Linked DNA regions of Arabidopsis thaliana. The protein of the gene in region 1 interacts with the protein of each later gene in a pairwise test. Each region holds a gene or a part of one and is shown on either strand. Other genes may lie near its edges.

Region 1 (3,784 bases):
TCTTTCATACATAAACTCATGTTGTTAAACAGATTATGATTTCTTAAGTACTACAATATCACACATTGATGGAAAGTGATATAGATTTCTCTCTTCTCTATTTATATGCTTAAATCCACAATGAATCATTATTGTAACTGAAAGAGGATATTTAAAAAGACGAGTATACCCTTGATTTCTCTTGTTTAGTAGTAGAGAAGAGGGTAATTTGGTAAATGACGAAGTAAGTACATTGAGCTTCTTCGCGGACAGAGACACTATCTCTCTCTCTCTCTACCCTTTGGATCTTTCTTCTCGATCAATTATCCATTTTGCCCAGATTTTTTCCAGAAGCTCATCGAATTCGTAAGCTTTCGCGCCTTTTCCTCTCTTTAATTTATTTGTTAATCAATTTTGAATGTGTTGTATCTCTAGGGTTTATAATTTCAGTTTCACCCTTGTTTTCTATTGTTTCGCGGAATAATCTCTTGTCATGGAAGGTTTAGATTGATTCGACCTTTTTGATCTTGACCTAATTTATTCCAATTTTCGTAAAATTGTTCCTTAAGACCTGTTTCTCTGACTAGCTCAGATTGATTTTGGTATCTGAATCAATTGCGGAACCCTAACTGGCAGATCAATTCGAGAAGTTTTGATTTTGTTTGAAGATAGTGAATTGCGAGTTCAGTGTGCTAATATCTGCTTGTAATTCTTACTCTTCAATTGTTTTCATAGATCGAATCACAATGTTTGAAATTTGGTTTCACTGTTGCTGAGTGTGTTTGGAGGAGAAGCTTGATTGGTTCGGTGTTTCACTGTTTGAAGATTATAAGAGTTATGGAGAATGGTGGTCAGTATGATAATGCGCGGTTCAAGCCCGATTACTTCAAAGGTGCACAATCTATGGTAAGACTTAAGATTTTTGGTTTCCTAAAGATATGTTTTTGTTAGTGTGATTGAAGTTATATAAGCAAAGAATGTTTGTTACAGTGGAATATGATTCCCCAGCATCAGATTAAGGAACAACATAATGCGTTGGTGATGAATAAGAAGATCATGTCCATCCTTGCTGAGAGAGACGCTGCTGTACATGAAAGAAATCAAGCTGTCTCTGCTAAAAAGGAAGCTGTCGCTGCTCGGGACGAAGCGCTTCAGCAACGTGACAAAGCTCTTTCTGAGAGAGATAAAGCTTTGATAGAGAGAGATAATGCTTATGCTGCTCTTCAACACCATGAAAATAGTCTCAACTTTGCTTTGTCTGGTGGGAAGTGTGTTGATGGAGATGATTGTTTTGGTATTGGGGAACCCCACAAACTTGAAGTCTTCCCTTTGTCAACTATTCCGCCTGAGGTTACAAACACGAAGGTGGTGAACAAAAGGAAGAAAGAGAACAAGCAGGGACTATCAAAGGTGAAAAAAGTGGGTGAAGATCTGAACCGTCGAGTTCCTGCTCCTGGAAAGAAATCTAGAACAGATTGGGACAGTCAAGATGTCGGTTTGAACTTAGTCACCTTCGATGAGACGACAATGCCTGTACCCATGTGTTCGTGCACAGGCTCTACGCGTCAGTGTTACAAATGGGGAAATGGCGGCTGGCAATCGTCTTGCTGCACAACCACCTTATCCCAGTATCCATTACCGCAGATGCCAAACAAGAGGCATTCTCGGATGGGCGGTAGGAAAATGAGCGGAAACGTTTTCTCGAGATTACTCAGCCGTTTATCAGCAGAAGGATATGATCTCTCGTGTCCTGTTGATCTTAAAGACTATTGGGCTAGGCACGGGACAAACCGCTACATCACTATCAAGTAGCCTCTGTTGTTTACACAGTCCAAGTATGTTTCTCTCGTCTTCTTAAGATTAGGTGTTGTCTTTGTCTTTATTGTCCATAGTTTGTTCTTTGTTGTGTATGGTAAAACCATTGTTATGTGTATCTTTTGGATGGGCAAAAATGGTTTGCATAAAAAATCTGTGTTTTGACCTCAAAAAATAAAATAAAATCGTAACAGTTAAAAATCAAAATCTGTTACCCCTTTGATAGCAAAATCTGTTACCCCTTTTTTCTTTCACTTGTTAGTTTCTTTTTATACCGAGAGGAGAGAACAAAAAATAAAACACAAAGTAAGCATAAACAACAACAAAATGATGGAGAAAGCCACAGTGGCGCATGTGGAGACGCATCAACGGTCACAAGAGATATGGTTTCTTGGCGCCGCAAGAGCCTTCTTGCAAATTCCGAATCCGGGGATTGTCAAAGTTTTTGTCCTAAGCAGCTTGACTACATTCACCTCAGGAATGGCTTTAGTCATTGAGTGGATCTGTCACGGAAAGAGTCACACGGGATTCGGGTGGATCATCTACTATGCATTGTTCTTGATGTGTCTTCCTCTTGTCATCTTGATCGGTCTTCATATTCTCGTCAGGCGCGGCTCAGATCAGATTGTGGATTCAACTCCAAGCAAAGAACCGTGTGTGGTGCAGAATCAGAGTACCGAGACGACTAAACGAACTGAAGAAACGGTGAAAAACAGCTGCCAAAGTTTAGCCGTTGTGGTTGCTCCGGATGACAAGAAGATGCCGAGGATAAAACGCGCAGTGTCATTCCCGTCTCACGGCGAAGTAAGATCATGTCGAACTCGTTAGCAAATTAAAACTTAGTGTGGTTCATTCAAAAAAATAACTTTGATGTGGTTAGCTATCAGATCGATTCAAGAATCTAATAATCTCTTTTGTGATATGTTTGTTATTCAGCATTTTATCTTTTCCAATAATCCAACGACCAATGATCTTCAAAAATTCGAATTACATCTTTCTTTCTTTTTTCCCCTCTTATGAGCTGAGTTCAATATATATATATATATATATATATATATATATATATATATATATATATATTGATGTACTATATATTGTTAGTTAAAAGCAAAAGATGAAAAAGTCTTACAATGGGTTTTGGTTTTTCTTTGAAATTTTGTAACAACCCAAGTAAAATACTAGATCCTCTGTTTTTTAGGGAAAGTATTTTTTGCAAAATTTTGAATTGCTATAAAGTAGAGTTTTGGAAAAACTAAAATAAAAAATCTTTACATTCAAGGTAAAAATCTCTACTTCTTTGAAATAATGCCACGTGTCAGTTCAGCGAGGAATAATATGTGTGAGTCTCATGGGTTGTTTGAGTCAATTTCGTTACCGGTTCTACAATAAGAAGTTACTTTGGCCCAAATAGAAAGAAATTTTACTTATCAAGTGGCCGAAAGGTGGCCCCAAAAAAACAAGGAAGTAAATCTACTAATGTACATTTGTCGCTACATAATTGGTCTAAGATAAATTACTTATATAGAATACTGTTATGGTGATTTACCCAATTTTTAGCCAAATGTGGTAAATTTAATTTCTAAACAAACTTACAATCATTTATAGTATCTATTAATTTATTGCTAACAACAATTATTTTTTCCAAATAAAAATACATTTTTTTTTACAAAATTTAATTTAGATTCACTGAAATATCTACAATTAAGTAATGTAATTTAATGTGGGTCCATGTAGTGCATAGAAAAGATTTACTAATTAAGTGATTGCTAAAATCAATAAATTAATAAACAAAAATAAAAATATTAGTTGATCAAAAAAAGGAGATATATGATATTTATTAATATAGCCAAAAAATAAATCTCACAATTACAATTAATCAAAGGACTACAAAAATATACAAAACTTTCTGTAAAAAATCAAACAACAATCATTTGTAAAATCCAACATTGGTAATTCTTCTAGAGATGAACCAAATGTATATCTAAATCAG
Region 2 (4,961 bases), on another chromosome or scaffold:
ACAAGTTGGATATTGAAGGCAAGCAGCCTTCTAACACACTTGTTTGTGGTGACTCTGGAAATGATGCTGAGCTTTTCAACATTTCTGACGTATATGGCGTAATGGTTAGTTCCCAACTACTTTTTTTTAGGTTCGATCATACTTGACTACGCGTGAGTGATTGTGCTTATATTTTTACTGTTTAAGGTTAGCAATTCGCATGAAGAATTATTGCAATGGTATGAAGAAAATGCAAAGGACAACCCAAAAATATTTCATGCGTCTGAGAGGTGTGGAGCTGGTATGATAGAAGCTATTCAGAGGTTTAATTTGGGACCAAATGTCTCTCCTAGAGATGTTATGGACACTGAAAATTTCCATGGGGAAAGTTTGAATCCTGCTCATGAGGTTGTTCAGTTTTATTTGTTTTATGAGAGATGGCGTTGTGGAGAGGTGGAAAAGTCTGACAAGTACTTGCAGAATTTGAAATCGCTCTCTGTAAGTGTGTTTATTTGACAAAAAAAAGCTCTCTAGCATCTAACGTAATGGAAATTCAAGTGCTCAAATTGATAATTTTGAAGATGTTCTTGATTGCTTGTGTTGTGTAGACTTATTAGTTGACGTAATTGTTATGCTTTTGCAATGTTTCAGAGTCCACTTGGTATTTTTGTTCATCCGTCTGGAGTGGAGAAACCGATACATGAATGGATAGATGAGATGGAAAATTTATACGGTGATGGGAAGGAAAAGAAGTTTCGCATTTGGTTGGATAATGTTACGTCTTCTCATATCAGTTCAGATACATGGCTTGCAAAATTTGTAAAGCATGAGTTATCTGGTAAGAAATCTTGTTCTTCAATTACATGGCTTATACTTGTGACTTATCGAGCTAGGAAATGATTTAGCAGAAAATACGATCAACTGATTTGTTTGATTTCTCATCATAAGGGTATACTGTAGAAGTTTGCTTCCATGTTCTAATGTCTAGCTCGTGTTTACAGAGGGAAAAGTACGGTCTTGTTCAACAAAAGTCTTACTGAGTTATAAGGTAAACCTTGATTTATGATCCTTTTAAGATTTCAAACGATTAGATTGGTTAAATAATATTGGAAAAAAATAACTGAAAATGGGTTAAAATTGAAAGGAGGAAAAGCAAAGGCTGACGTGGATGCACATCCACCAATCATGGTTAGATGAATCTTCTTCAGATGATCAAGAAAAATGGATTTTCTAAAGGATTATCTTAATCTCGACTGACATACTAAAGATGACATCTGTTTGGGACAGAAGCTAACCAAAGAGCATAGTGTTTGTTTTGTGTTATGTTTGTTTGGGGATGGTGTGAGTTTGATAAAGCATGAAGGATACTAAAAGCTGAAGAAGGTGTTGCCATGTCTTGGTTTCGTTTCATTAATACTTTTTTACATATTTGGGTTAACTTAAAACTATTAATAAGGAAGGTTGGGTCCTGAATTTGGTCTGTTCATGACCTTTTGAGGGCAGGGAGAGTTTTGGGTCTCTACAACAAAACCTACATTTCTTTAGTCTTACAAAACCTACCATTGTGTTTGATTTGCAATTCTTTTTTCTGGTTTATATGGATTGTTTTCTACTATTTCTGTTTGTTTTTGTTGAGAAACTATTTCGATTTTTTAAACCATATACAAAACGCTCCACCAAACTCACAAATCCCGCCTTGGATACTGTAATCTGTTTTTATAAAAAAATGATATGATGGAGAGAAGAGGAGACGCAAGTCACGGGACATGATTTCAAGCATAAGTCTAATTACTAATTACCACCACTTTCCGTAATTAACGCCCTTTTTCACTTTATCCACTTTTTGTTGCCCATCTTCTTTATATTATTTCTTTCTCCAAGCCCACACTGCTCAGTTTCCTGGTCAAATGGCTACCTCAGAGACTCGAGTCTTGTTCTTATCTTTGTGTCTCATCCTTGGCAAAGTAGTTTTGTCTCAGTTTGATGAGTTATGGCTAGTAGGGGACGATGATCCACTCAACGCCTTGCAGACGAGGCGTGAAAGAAGAGAGGAGAGGTGTGATTACTCGGTGGGGAAATGGACGTTCGATGAAACGTATCCGCTCTATGATTCAAGCTGTCCATATCTGAGTTCTGCACTAAGTTGCCAAAGAAATGGAAGACCCGACTCTTATTACCAGAAATGGAGATGGATCCCTAAGGCTTGTTCACTACCAAGGCACACTCCACACTCCTCTTACTTCTTACATTACTTCTTTTTAAAATTTCTGTCTCATCAAGTAAAAAAGTTGGTTTATATTGGCTTTGCATGGTTAATTGCAAGATGAATAAATTGACTAATGAAAAATGGGAAAGAGACATTAATATTAACCAAAATAGTGGCTCTTTCCATGATGGTGTTTAGGTTTGACGCATTGAAATTTCTTGGGAAAATGAGAGGAAAAAGAATAATGCTGGTTGGAGATTCAATGATGAGAAACCAGTGGGAATCTCTTGTCTGCTTAGTACAGTCTGTTCTTCCCACTCATCGTAAGAAGCTCACTTACAATGGTCCTACGATGTCTTTCCATTCTCTGGTAATTAATAATCACAAATCTCCTTTTGAATCACATATACATCATTGGTTAGTAGATGCAACTATTAAATTTGGTTACTATACAGGATTTTGAGACATCAATTGAGTTTTGTTGGGCTCCTCTGCTTGTGGAACTCAAGAGAGGAGTTGACCGTAAAAGGGTGTTACATTTGGACTCAATCGAAGACAATGCTAGATATTGGCGTGGTGTAGATGTTCTTGTATTCGATTCCGCTCACTGGTGGACTCACTCTCAGAGATGGAGTTCGTAAGTCATCTGAATAAACACTTACATCTTTCCTTCAAAAGCAAATGATTAGTGTATAACGGTTCATAGACGTCTATGTTCATTGTATTTGTTATTGTGTCTCATTTTACATCAGATTTGGGATTTGTGACAGTAACGCAAGCTATTGATGTTTTAGGTGGGATTATTACATGGATGGGAATAAGATCTTCAAAGCTATGGACCCAATGGTTGCTTATGAGAGAGGACTAACCACATGGGCTAAATGGGTTGAGATAAATCTTGATCCATCCAAAACAAAAGTCATTTTCCGCACTGTCTCACCGAGGTTTTTTCTTATATTCTCCTCTTAATCTCAACATATATACAAAATGGACACCATTAATTCATGTACATAAATTCTTGGCAGAGAGAGTGGTCAGATGTGCTACAACCAGAAACATCCCTTGCCTTCTTTATCTTCTTCCACCAAACCCCACGTGCCTCAACAGTCAAGAGTGTTGAACAAAGTGCTAAGGACAATGAAATACCGAGTGTATTTATACGATATCACAACAATGTCTGCGTATAGAAGAGACGGTCATCCTTCGGTGTTCAAGAGAGCAATGCACGAGGAAGAGAAGCACCATCGTATCGCTGGACCTTCATCAGATTGCAGTCATTGGTGCTTGCCCGGTGTCCCGGATATTTGGAATGAGATGCTTTCTTCAATTATCTTAACCAATGCTGTATGAGCTATAATAAGAGTCTGTTTTTACTCATGAACAATGGTGTTACTTATATGAATCAGTGGTTTATATATTACATATCCTTTCCCAGCTAACAAATATCCCAATATCAAAGACAAGACAACTCAAAGGCCTTTAAGCATAAAGTTCATGCATCACAATGATTTTCGTGTTTTGGTTATTTCTTACCTAACTCAATTTTTTTCCTAAAACGTTTTAGGTTAAGTTTTGGTGTTTTCATCAAAATGGCAATAACCATTTGATTAGAGTTTTACAGTTAGTGAAGTTCTCAATTTTTGAATAAAATAATATTTTTAAAATTGTAAAGGCAATGAGTCATCATTATTCTGTCGTATTCTCCGTCGCTTTCATTTTCAACTACTTTGAAGCTGCAGATCTCTTTTGGAGATTCACATGGCGACGGAGAAATGGGTGTTCATGGTGACGGCGCAAACTCCGACGAACATTGCGGTGATTAAGTATTGGGGAAAGAGAGATGAGGTTCGGATTCTCCCCGTTAACGATAGCATTAGCGTAACTCTTGATCCTGATCATCTCTGCACAGTCACCACTGTTGCCGTTAGTCCTGCTTTTGATCGGGATCGAATGTGGCTCAATGGCAAGGTACACTCGCTTCATTTCCCATCACGATCTCTCTCCTTTTGCTGAGATTCCAATTATCGAATTACAAAGATTTTTGTTGTTGTTGTTGTTTCATGTTAGTGTAGGAAATATCTCTTTCTGGAAGTAGGTACCAAAATTGTTTGAGGGAAATACGAGGTCGTGCTGGTGATGTTGAAGACATGGAAAAGGGGATCAAGATAAGGAAGAAAGATTGGGAGAAATTGAATCTACATATTGCTTCTCATAATAACTTCCCTACTGCTGCTGGCTTAGCATCTTCAGCTGCTGGATTTGCTTGTCTAGGTATTCTGCTTTTTCTCTCTGTTGATGATTATGAGCTTGAGAATGGCTTGTAGTTTATGTCAAACTGTTTTTTTTGCCTACAGTTTTTTCTCTTGCAAAGTTGATGAATGTAGATGAAGATCCAAGCCATCTTTCTGCAATAGCCAGGTACCTATGTAGTGGACTTCCTTGCACTATATATCAATGCTTTGATTTATGTATAGTCATCTACTAATGCATGAGTTGTGATAGTGAAGTGAAATCTGACACTCCTCTAGGAATTAAATGGTACTGATATTCATGGTTTGATTTCTGTTTGCTCATGTAGGCAAGGTTCAGGAAGTGCTTGCCGGAGTTTATTTGGTGGATTTGTCAAGTGGACAATGGGAAGCAAAGAAGATGGAAGTGACAGCGTTGCAGTTCAACTGGCAGATGAGAAGCATTGGGATGATCTTGTTATCATCATTGCTGTGGTATGGCTCTTTTAAAAAATATTGTGACTTTTTGGCAGGATTACTCCGACTCT
Region 3 (4,112 bases), on another chromosome or scaffold:
AGCTGAGACCACTTGTTTGAGAGCATTGTTAAACTTGTTCTATTCATTACTATCTGCTGAATCTAAGTTTGTATTATACTTTCGTCTGTTTTCCTATCAGTCTCATGTTTTTCCATCTGAATTCGTCTGTTACTTCATACAATGTTATTAGTGTTTACTGTTTTCGATTTTCTGAATATAGCTTGTATATTTTTGGTTACTAGGCTCCACGGAGAAGCACATCGAGTGAGAAGTTGCCAAGCAAACAGGAGAGGGCTAATGTATTTGCAAGATCATCGAAGGAGCACAATAAGATACAGTCAACCAAGAAAGTCGAGCCAACTGCAGTGTTGGACACCAAAGATAAAACGAGTAGGCCTAAATCTACATCTGTCGAGAAGAAATCTGTTGCAGAGAATGGATTGCCTGGGAATTTGGTCAAAGTCTCTGTTAATGGTAAAAGATTAGCGGCGGCCAATATCCAATGGAGTTCACTCCCTCCATCTCTTTCGAGGATGGGACAGGTATGGCCTTGACTGCTCTTGGATCCTTATATGTGCTTGCTTCATTAATAGGCTTTGAAGCATTTCTAGTGATTAAGAAAATTCATCTTCAAAACAAGCAGTTTAGAAATTCGATCATCCAAACTAACATATTTACTCTGGTGATTGAAGAGAACCTCTTAGTATAGCATATGCATCTTATGTTTTGGTCTTTGACATCGTGATTAAATATTAAGACAGCTTATTGAGTCATTGCTGCTATCAATATTTGCAGGAAGTATTGAGGCATAGAGAAGCTGCTCAAGTAGTCGCAATAGAGGCCCTGCAAGAAGCCTCTGCTTCCGAGAGCTTACTTCAGTGCCTCATGTGCGTAATATCTTAACCAAGTTTTATTCAGGCCGGCTTTGGATGTTTGAGGGACAAAACATAAATGTTTTTTGTATCTGAATGTTATTGTTACTGCCTTGGTGGTTTCTGAACTTTGTTCTGCTTTTCCTTTTTGTAGTATGTACTCCGATCTTTTGTCAACGGCGAAGGAAGATGATCCATTGCCAGTCGTTGAGCAGTTCTTGAAGCTCCATTCCGGTTTGAAAAACGTCCAAGTAATAACAGAGTCATTGTCCAAATTACTCTCTTTGATGTCCTCCCCAGATAATGAAGAAAACAGATCCGAGGAAGCTATAAAAGCGGCATCGGAAAAGCAGAAATTGGCAGCCTCATGGGTCCAAGCTGCGTTAGTCACTAACTTATCGCCCTTCTCTGTCTACTCCAGCAAACAAGCCAAACTTGCTGCCTCCAGGAGCAAACCCGTGATCATACTCGAGAGCCCGGGTAATAATTCCTCTAGTAAAACCCGTGGGAATATTCAAAACAAGCCAACGATTGGATCTAAACTCGTAGCACAAGGAATGATCCGTAAACACAGGGAGAACAGTAGCAGCCAGAAAGCCACCTCGGTAGCAGGGTCAGAGTCTCCACCGTTAAACTGGGTGAAAGGGAATGGTCTAAACGAGGCAACTGATCTGGCAGAGAAGTTGCAAATGGTTTCACAAGATTGGTTTTTGGGTTTCGTAGAGAGATTCTTAGACGCTGACGTGATTACATCATCCAGTCTCAGTCTGTCTGATAATGGGCAGATTGCGGGGATGCTGTCTCAGCTGAAGAGTGTGAATGATTGGTTAGACGAGATTGGATCGAAAGAGGATGAAGAAGGGTTACAAGAAGTCTCTAAGGAAACAATCGATCGATTACGGAAGAAGATCTACGAGTATCTGCTCACACATGTGGAGTCAGCAGCTGCAGCACTTGGTGGTGGTGGTGGCTCAGTCTCTTCTCCTAGACCTAAACCAATCGAAACCAAAGCAAAGAGATAAATGATGATGAAGAAGCTTCTACTTGTTTTTTTTTTTTCTTGTATATATGAAAATTGGCGGTCAATTTCTTCTGTATAATTCAGGCATCACTAAGAAGCCTACCGACGTGAAATGTTGGTATTTTTTATTCAGTCAGATACTCACTAAAGAGAACCTATTGGTTCGAAAGATTTCAACATATTTTTTATCCATTAATAACGATATCTCTTCTCTAGCGATTAAAGATTAGAAGATCAGCAAAAACAAAAATATCATTAGAAGACTTAGATCCATCACAATTCTGTAATTTTACAAAAACTATGACGATTCATGATTATGTGGAAATAGAGGCGATCGGTAAAAGTTGATTTGTTTATGGTTTATTTGTAATAATAAAAAAACTACAAGGTCCCAAAAGAAAATAATAATCACCGAACAAGTCCCTCCCATCATCCCATATTCCACATGGACTCTTTGAAATCCAAGGTTTTGCCATTTGACCACAGATTTGTGTTATTTTCAAACACAAAATCAACCAATTCCGATGAATCAGAAACCTCCGCCGTACGGTTATGGCGGCGCTGGTGGTGGAGGAGTCGGTCCTTCTTCCACTTCCAACACCACAATCATCGGGACGTTGAGTGCACGCGCCAAGCAGACGACGCAATCGATGATCACGACGCTCCGTCCATGGCGAGAGATTCTCGATCTGTCCGCGCTCTCTCTCCCTCGCGGGTATGATGAAGCCATGGCGCATCTAAAGCACAACATCTCTTATTTCCGTGGAAATTACGCTCTCGCCGTTCTCGCCATTGTTTTCCTCGGCCTTATTTACCATCCGATGTCTATGATCGCTTTCATCGTCGTCTTCATCGGATGGATTCTTCTCTATTTCTCTCGAGACGCAAACGATTCGATTGTGATTTCGGGGAAAGAAGTAGATGACAAGATCGTGCTGGTTTTACTCAGCTTGGTAACGGTTTTGGCATTGGTATATACAGATGTGGGCGAAAACGTTCTGGTTTCGCTGATCATTGGTTTGCTCATCGTCGGAGCTCACGGCGCTTTTCGTAATACCGATGATTTGTTTCTTGATGAAGAAAGTGCTCGCCGTGGTGGCCTGGTGTCTGCCGGTTCTGGTAACCGGCCACCGTCGAGTTATACCCCAATTTGAGTAAACCGGTTTGGAGAATTACTCGTAATTTCTTGGGTTTTTGATTGAAGAAGCTAAGGGAATCAATTTAGGGCTTTGTATTTTGGATTTCCCAAAGATTCTTGTATTTATATTTTGGCGTGTGTGTTTCATTTTGTTTGAATGTATACAAATTCTGGGAAAAAACAAATTGGTGTTATGGTATTTTATAGAATTGCCAAAAACATAATTTCCGATAGAAAAAGAAAAGTATGCATTAACCAGATGAAATTTCATAATGAACAAAACCAGTATGTTAAATTCAAGAATCCTTTGGTCTACACTCACAGTAGAATCATAAACTGATGCAATAGAAGAAAAACAAAGTTGGGAATAACTACTAACTAGTCTTCTTCAAGATTGATAGAATCTTTGAACTTAGCATACAATACCTTCTTCAGCGCTGCCATTTGTGTTACAATTGATTCCTTCTCTTGCTCGAGTTTCTCAAGGCTTTTGCAGGTCGCTTCTTTCATCTCTTCTATCTTTGTTTCTACGTCGTCCCTCGGCACATGAGCAAACACTTCTCCTATTTGAAAACGCACCATCTCCTCATCAGCAAGGATCAACTCGTTCCCTGCATCCTCTAGATTTTCACACTTTTCCTGCATAAATCAATTGTTTTTTAATCAAGCTAGATGCAGAAACACACAGTAGAATGCTGTTTTAATCCCCCTAATGAAACGATTGAACAAGACAAGTATCCACTTATTATTGCAAAGTCCCACATCTCCCTTTTTGTTTCCTACACATGCTGAACTATCAACACCATTACAATATCTAATTACAGTGATCTGATATACCCTAGCAGGCTTATATTCACCAACGAAGGAGAAAGTTAAGGGAGCAGTGATATGTAAGAGTGCACGGATGGTATAAGCAGGTTACAGTAGATTGGTACAACCTAAAGAGAATGTAAAATGAGATATGAGAGTATAGAGATTCTCTTGTGGGGTTATCTGAATGAAGTAAAATTACAATTTACAACAATCAATAAAATCAGGAATTATCTCAAATAATCTTAATCATGATCCTACACTAGACCAACAACACTTATCATATACTCTCAGGATCATTGTAATTAGC
Region 4 (4,927 bases), 2.4 Mb from region 1:
ATCTAACATCCCTCATACAATACTAATTCACTTGCTCCTAAATGAAACGCAAAACGACGGTGATGTGTAGGTCATTGTGAGAAATAATTTTGATGAGATTGTTCTTGAAGAATCAAAGAATGTTTTTGATAAATCATTGCAACTTTTGATTTTGTTTTATGAACCGTTGTAGCTTTTAGTTTATTTGATGAACTATTGCAACTTTCGGTATATTTAACATATACGATCGTATCTCTTGGTATAACTTTTCATAATATTGTTTAATTTTTAACCATTAAAACAAATATTGAGATACATTTTGCAACTGTTTCATTAAACTATTGCAATATTTAGTTTACCTGACGAACCATTGTAATTTTCGGTTTATTTTTTGAACTGTTGTAATATTTTTGATATAATAATAGTAATCCGAATAAATGTCTTTTGCAATTGTGTCTTTATAACATAATTTACATAATTTTGTTATTGCTTTCTTAATTTTATTCAGTAATATGCATTTATACGAATTGCAATTTTCTAAGAAAATATAACCGTAAAATATATGTTTTTAGTTTAAAACAGAAAAAATTATTTTAACGAAAAGTTGCAATAACAAAAAAAAACACAATTGTTTACAACTGCAATATTTATTAAGATTGTTATTATTATATAGATTTATATTCTTATCAAAAATAAAATAAAATATGTTAAATTCTAAAGTAAGAACGAGAAAATATTCATCATGTAAAGGGTGTACGTAAACTCGTAAAGATATATACCCTAGAAAACCTTATTCACACCATAATATGAGTAATAGTCAAATATGGTTCTCAATGAGAAACATTGAAAACAAAACAACATAATCATACAAATATAGAACGCAGAAGAGAGCTATTTTGGTTGCTCGTACGAATCAGAGCGTATACCAAACAAGCTAGTACAAAAATACACTTGCCCTTTCTGGTGCGTTCTGTTTTTTACGTTGGAGTAACCATTTAAAGCCTTTTAATACCTCGGACCTCGGACCAGCTTCCTCTCATAGGAATCACTCCGGAAACTACTAACCGAAGTAGACCGTTCGGGTTTGTTGGGGATTGTTGTCGATAGCCACTCAAGTCCTTCGTATAATCCTTGCCCAGAGATAGCTGAGGTTCCTTGTATAAGCCTGCACCAATCACAATCACAAAAATTGTTTTTGTTTATCCCTCTACCTCTAAATATATATATAACCAACACGAGAGGAAGTTTTTAGTATTATTACCAACAACGTTTGGATAGGCTGTGTAGACCAAGTTTGTTGGCAACCTCGGCTACAGGTAAAGCATTTCTCGAATCTTGCTTGTTCGCAAAGACAAGTACACATGCACCTTCTAGTTCATTCTGTGGATTTTTTTTACCAATAAAGAAAGTTGTTAGGGTTAAAAAAAAGAAAAGAGGAGACAATAAGTAACATTTTAAAGTTTCATATGAATTTTACATCGGTTAGTATGCGATGCAGCTCGTTTCGAGCTTCTGATAACCTTTCACTATCGCTGCTGTCCACTACAAAGATGAGCCCCTGCGCGTTCTGGAAATAGTGTCTCCACAATTTGCGAATCTGTTGAACCGGACAGGTCAAGCCTGGAGAGGCAAAGGAAGAGAAATATGTGTTTATATGCACTTATAGAGAAGTAAAATGGAGTTTACCTTCTCTTGTCCTCCTATATCCCATACAGTGAAATTGATGCCTTTGTATTCTACTGTCTCGAGGTTGAAACCTGGAAAATCGCAAAACAACCAAAAACCAAAAAAGGTTAATCATCAATATGAGATTTATCAAGCTATTAAGAATATTCTTCCTCACCAATGCAAACACAATCAAAGGTAAATAAAAATGTAACTATGATCTAGTATCTACACATGAGCTATGATCCACAATAAAGATACACAAAAGTATATATGGTTGGAGCAGTTCTAACTAGCCAAACAAAGTTTCCTTCATAATCCTCAATAAATAGATATATAGAGTGAATCAACATCTTGCTCTAACTTCAGAATCAATAGATAGAAGTCTCAACAGAACCAAAAAAACAAGAGAAGAAAAGTCCATGTCACATACCAATAGTAGGCACTGTTGTGACAACTTCTCCAAGCTTCAACTTGTAAAGGATGGTAGTCTTCCCTGAACCATCAAGACCAACCATCAAAATCCTTACTTTACTTTTAGGAAGAAACCTTTTCGCTATACGTGAAAATCTGGCTCCCATGTAGAACAAAAAACAAAAACAAGGATCTTAGATACAGTGAAAGAAACACAGCTTCTGATATTTCAATTCAAGCTTGGACTTATATGAGATCTATGAAGAGTATTTTACACACATGAGAGAAAAGAAAAAATAACTGAAAGTTTGATTTGCAGATTGTAAAGGCAAGCAAAAAGGCAAAGTCCCATTAGAAGAAAGGCTGGAAAAGAATAAATTCCCTAAGGAAGAGAGGTAATGTTGTGTCCTTTTCCAAACTCGAAAGCTCATTAGGACACAGAGCAGGACTGGTCAGATTCTGTGTTCTGTCTTTCTCATTCTAGAAGCATATATCAGAATCTTATTCCTTGAGTACATCACCAGCGATATGGAATATTATTAGAGGTGCATAGGAAAGACACGAAACTGGAATTGCATAAAGATGGTAAATGGAACAAAATATCAAACCGGATTTTTGATAAGCAATAATAAAACAGAGCATAAGTCTTATTAGAAACAATTAAGTAAGGGAAGATGATCAATTAAAAAAATATTAACTTCTTATTTTCATTAGAAATAAATCATTAGAATAAAAAAACCAATACATATGATTTCATTAGAAACTGATATGCAAAAAACTTGAGTATATAAATTTTTAATCTAAATTTTGTATGATAATTTTTAAAATTCAAAATTGAAATTTTAGTAAAACTTTAATGAAATAAGAAATTAATATTTTTAATTAATAATATAAATAACTATTAATTAAAAAAATAACTTCTTAAAAAAAATTACACTCTTAATTTAGTTTTGAAATTGAAAAACAAACTATTATAAGAATTAATGCATTCAATATATATACAAAATATATTTATATTGGATATAGATTTTATTATTATTATACAACACAATATATATTTTTTTAATATTAAAAGTAAATTGAAATATTATTTTTGAATATTTTTGTTGGTCAACGTCGGAATCAGTCCAGCGGTTAACCTGAGATTCTCCATTTATAATGTTGATCATATAACATCGTATACTTCGTATATATTGTCATTCAATCCATATACTTCAGTTAGCTGAATATCCTAGTATACTTGGCATTGATGGCCATGTGGTTTGCTAAACTTCAGGTAGTTGACAATTTTTTTTCAAATTAATATCAACAAATCATTCATTTAGTTAATTTATTTCATATCCAAAAAATGTTGAGATTTCTCTTTTTTTTTTTTTGTTAAAGAAAATGTTGAGATTTCTCCTATGAATATATACGGAAAGCTTAAGTTTATTCACATAATGTCAGAATTAACTGGAAATCGTTTTACTTGAAGTGACTAAAATTATTTGAGAGTTTTTAAGTTCAACTGTTTTACATTTATTTACTTGTTTTATCATCTTTACGATATATATTTATAAGAAAAAATCAGGTAGAGGTGTGCTAGTGTATATGAAAACCAGAAGTGGCTTAAGAAAAATAAAACCAATACATAAGATAAAACTTTCAAAGTAATTAACATCGGTTTGAAAAAAAAAAAAAAAAAAAAAGACGAGAGCAACAAACAAAATAAAGTTTCCTTTTATCCCACATTCAAAGCTTTATTTAGATGAAAGGAAGTCATAAGAAAAATGAAATATTAATTAAGAACACAAAGATCAAAGATTCTTAGATTGATTTCATATAAGAGAAAAGGAGAGTTGCTAGGAATCTAAACTTAAATGAATCTAAACTTGCTATTAAATCCTAAGATACATGGGTTTGTAGGCTTTGAGAGTATATTTAGTAACTTCAGGCTTATCATGCGACAATATCTGCGCTTCTTAGATATGCTCTAACAAAAGATACCATGATACTTTTATCCCGAAACAAAAAGAAAAAAACGAACAACAATTCAAATGACACAAAGTAATCCATTTACATTGCAACAAATATATGATATCTTTTTAAGAATAAAGTAAACAACTAAACAAACATTTTCTCTAGCACTTGCACCACTTCCTTCATAGACGGTCGCTTTTGAGGCAAGGAGGAGACACATTCATAGCCTAACTTCAAGCATGCGACCGCCTCATCCTCGCGGTGAGCCACCTCAACCCTAATTTCCCCATCGACCAACTTCAAGAACCAACTTTTCTCATCAGTCTCAGAATCGCGAACCAAATCTCGATCGACCGAAAAAACTATGCCTGTGAGAAGTTCCAAGAGTATAACACCAAATGAATATACATCCCATTTGGGGTTTGGCTTCTGGCTTGTCGACCACTCTGGTGGTTGGTCTTGTAAGCTCGACAATGGCCCGTCCGTGAGTAAATGGGCCGAAGTCATAATACGATCAAGGCCCATATCTGTAATTACAGGCTCAAACTCGGAGTCCAAGAGAATGTTATTGGCCTTGATGTTGCCGTGCACATGCTTCTTGTCGTGGATATAAGCAATTCCTCTAGCTATTCCTCTTGCTAACTTGAGCCGTGCCTCAAAGGAGAGAGGTTTATGAGAAAACGAGCTTGATTTTGCTGTTTTCATATCAAACAAAATTAATGTCAAAATATCAAGATTCGTAAAATAGTTTGTTTGTTAAGAGCAATGGGCTAACATGCGCTGACTAGTAGTGCGTATTCTAGCAAATATTAAGTAACGTACGCCGTTTGTAGAAACTTACCGGAGATGGAGGATAGAGGTAGGTTTCCATTTGGGACATAGTCGGAGATGAGAAGCTTCTCTTCTTTCC

What was found.
Region 2: the proteins of AT2G21237 (region 1) and TBL36 interact in a protein complementation assay, tested with the Arabidopsis thaliana proteins (one large-scale study listed by BioGRID).
Region 3: the proteins of AT2G21237 (region 1) and PRA1.E interact in a protein complementation assay, tested with the Arabidopsis thaliana proteins (one large-scale study listed by BioGRID).
Region 4: the proteins of AT2G21237 (region 1) and ARFB1A interact in a protein complementation assay, tested with the Arabidopsis thaliana proteins (one large-scale study listed by BioGRID).

Annotation. Positions count from the first base shown.
Region 1 is NC_003071.7:9,099,522-9,103,305, reverse strand, and holds AT2G21237 (uncharacterized protein), read left to right. Parts: upstream 1-2,090; 5' UTR 2,091-2,121; coding exon 2,122-2,622; 3' UTR 2,623-2,770; downstream 2,771-3,784. Other genes in the region: BPC4 (basic pentacysteine 4), read left to right, coding at 817-885, 970-1,791.
Region 2 is NC_003074.8:20,083,671-20,088,631, reverse strand, and holds TBL36 (TRICHOME BIREFRINGENCE-LIKE 36), read left to right. Parts: upstream 1-1,664; 5' UTR 1,665-1,886; coding exon 1,887-2,197; intron 2,198-2,383; coding exon 2,384-2,555; intron 2,556-2,640; coding exon 2,641-2,822; intron 2,823-2,979; coding exon 2,980-3,129; intron 3,130-3,210; coding exon 3,211-3,535; 3' UTR 3,536-3,661; downstream 3,662-4,961. Other genes in the region: AT3G54270 (sucrose-6F-phosphate phosphohydrolase family protein), read left to right, coding at 1-104, 187-477, 631-817, 981-1,027, 1,124-1,213; AT3G54250 (GHMP kinase family protein), read left to right, coding at 3,944-4,153, 4,258-4,456, 4,540-4,603, 4,764-4,908. UniProt on the Arabidopsis thaliana protein: May act as a bridging protein that binds pectin and other cell wall polysaccharides. Probably involved in maintaining esterification of pectins. May be involved in the specific O-acetylation of cell wall polymers.
Region 3 is NC_003070.9:2,806,555-2,810,666, forward strand, and holds PRA1.E (prenylated RAB acceptor 1.E), read left to right. Parts: upstream 1-2,205; 5' UTR 2,206-2,378; coding exon 2,379-3,008; 3' UTR 3,009-3,221; downstream 3,222-4,112. Other genes in the region: AT1G08760 (GPI-anchored adhesin-like protein, putative (DUF936)), read left to right, coding at 204-503, 757-848, 988-1,855; AIP3 (ABI3-interacting protein 3), read right to left, coding at 3,371-3,631. UniProt on the Arabidopsis thaliana protein: May be involved in both secretory and endocytic intracellular trafficking in the endosomal/prevacuolar compartments.
Region 4 is NC_003071.7:6,651,245-6,656,171, reverse strand, and holds ARFB1A (ADP-ribosylation factor B1A), read right to left. Parts: upstream 2,510-4,927; 5' UTR 2,226-2,509; coding exon 2,078-2,225; intron 1,737-2,077; coding exon 1,666-1,736; intron 1,577-1,665; coding exon 1,457-1,576; intron 1,360-1,456; coding exon 1,241-1,359; intron 1,145-1,240; coding exon 985-1,144; 3' UTR 671-984; downstream 1-670. Other genes in the region: AT2G15300 (Leucine-rich repeat protein kinase family protein), read right to left, coding at 4,162-4,712, 4,859-4,927. UniProt on the Arabidopsis thaliana protein: GTP-binding protein involved in protein trafficking; may modulate vesicle budding and uncoating within the Golgi apparatus.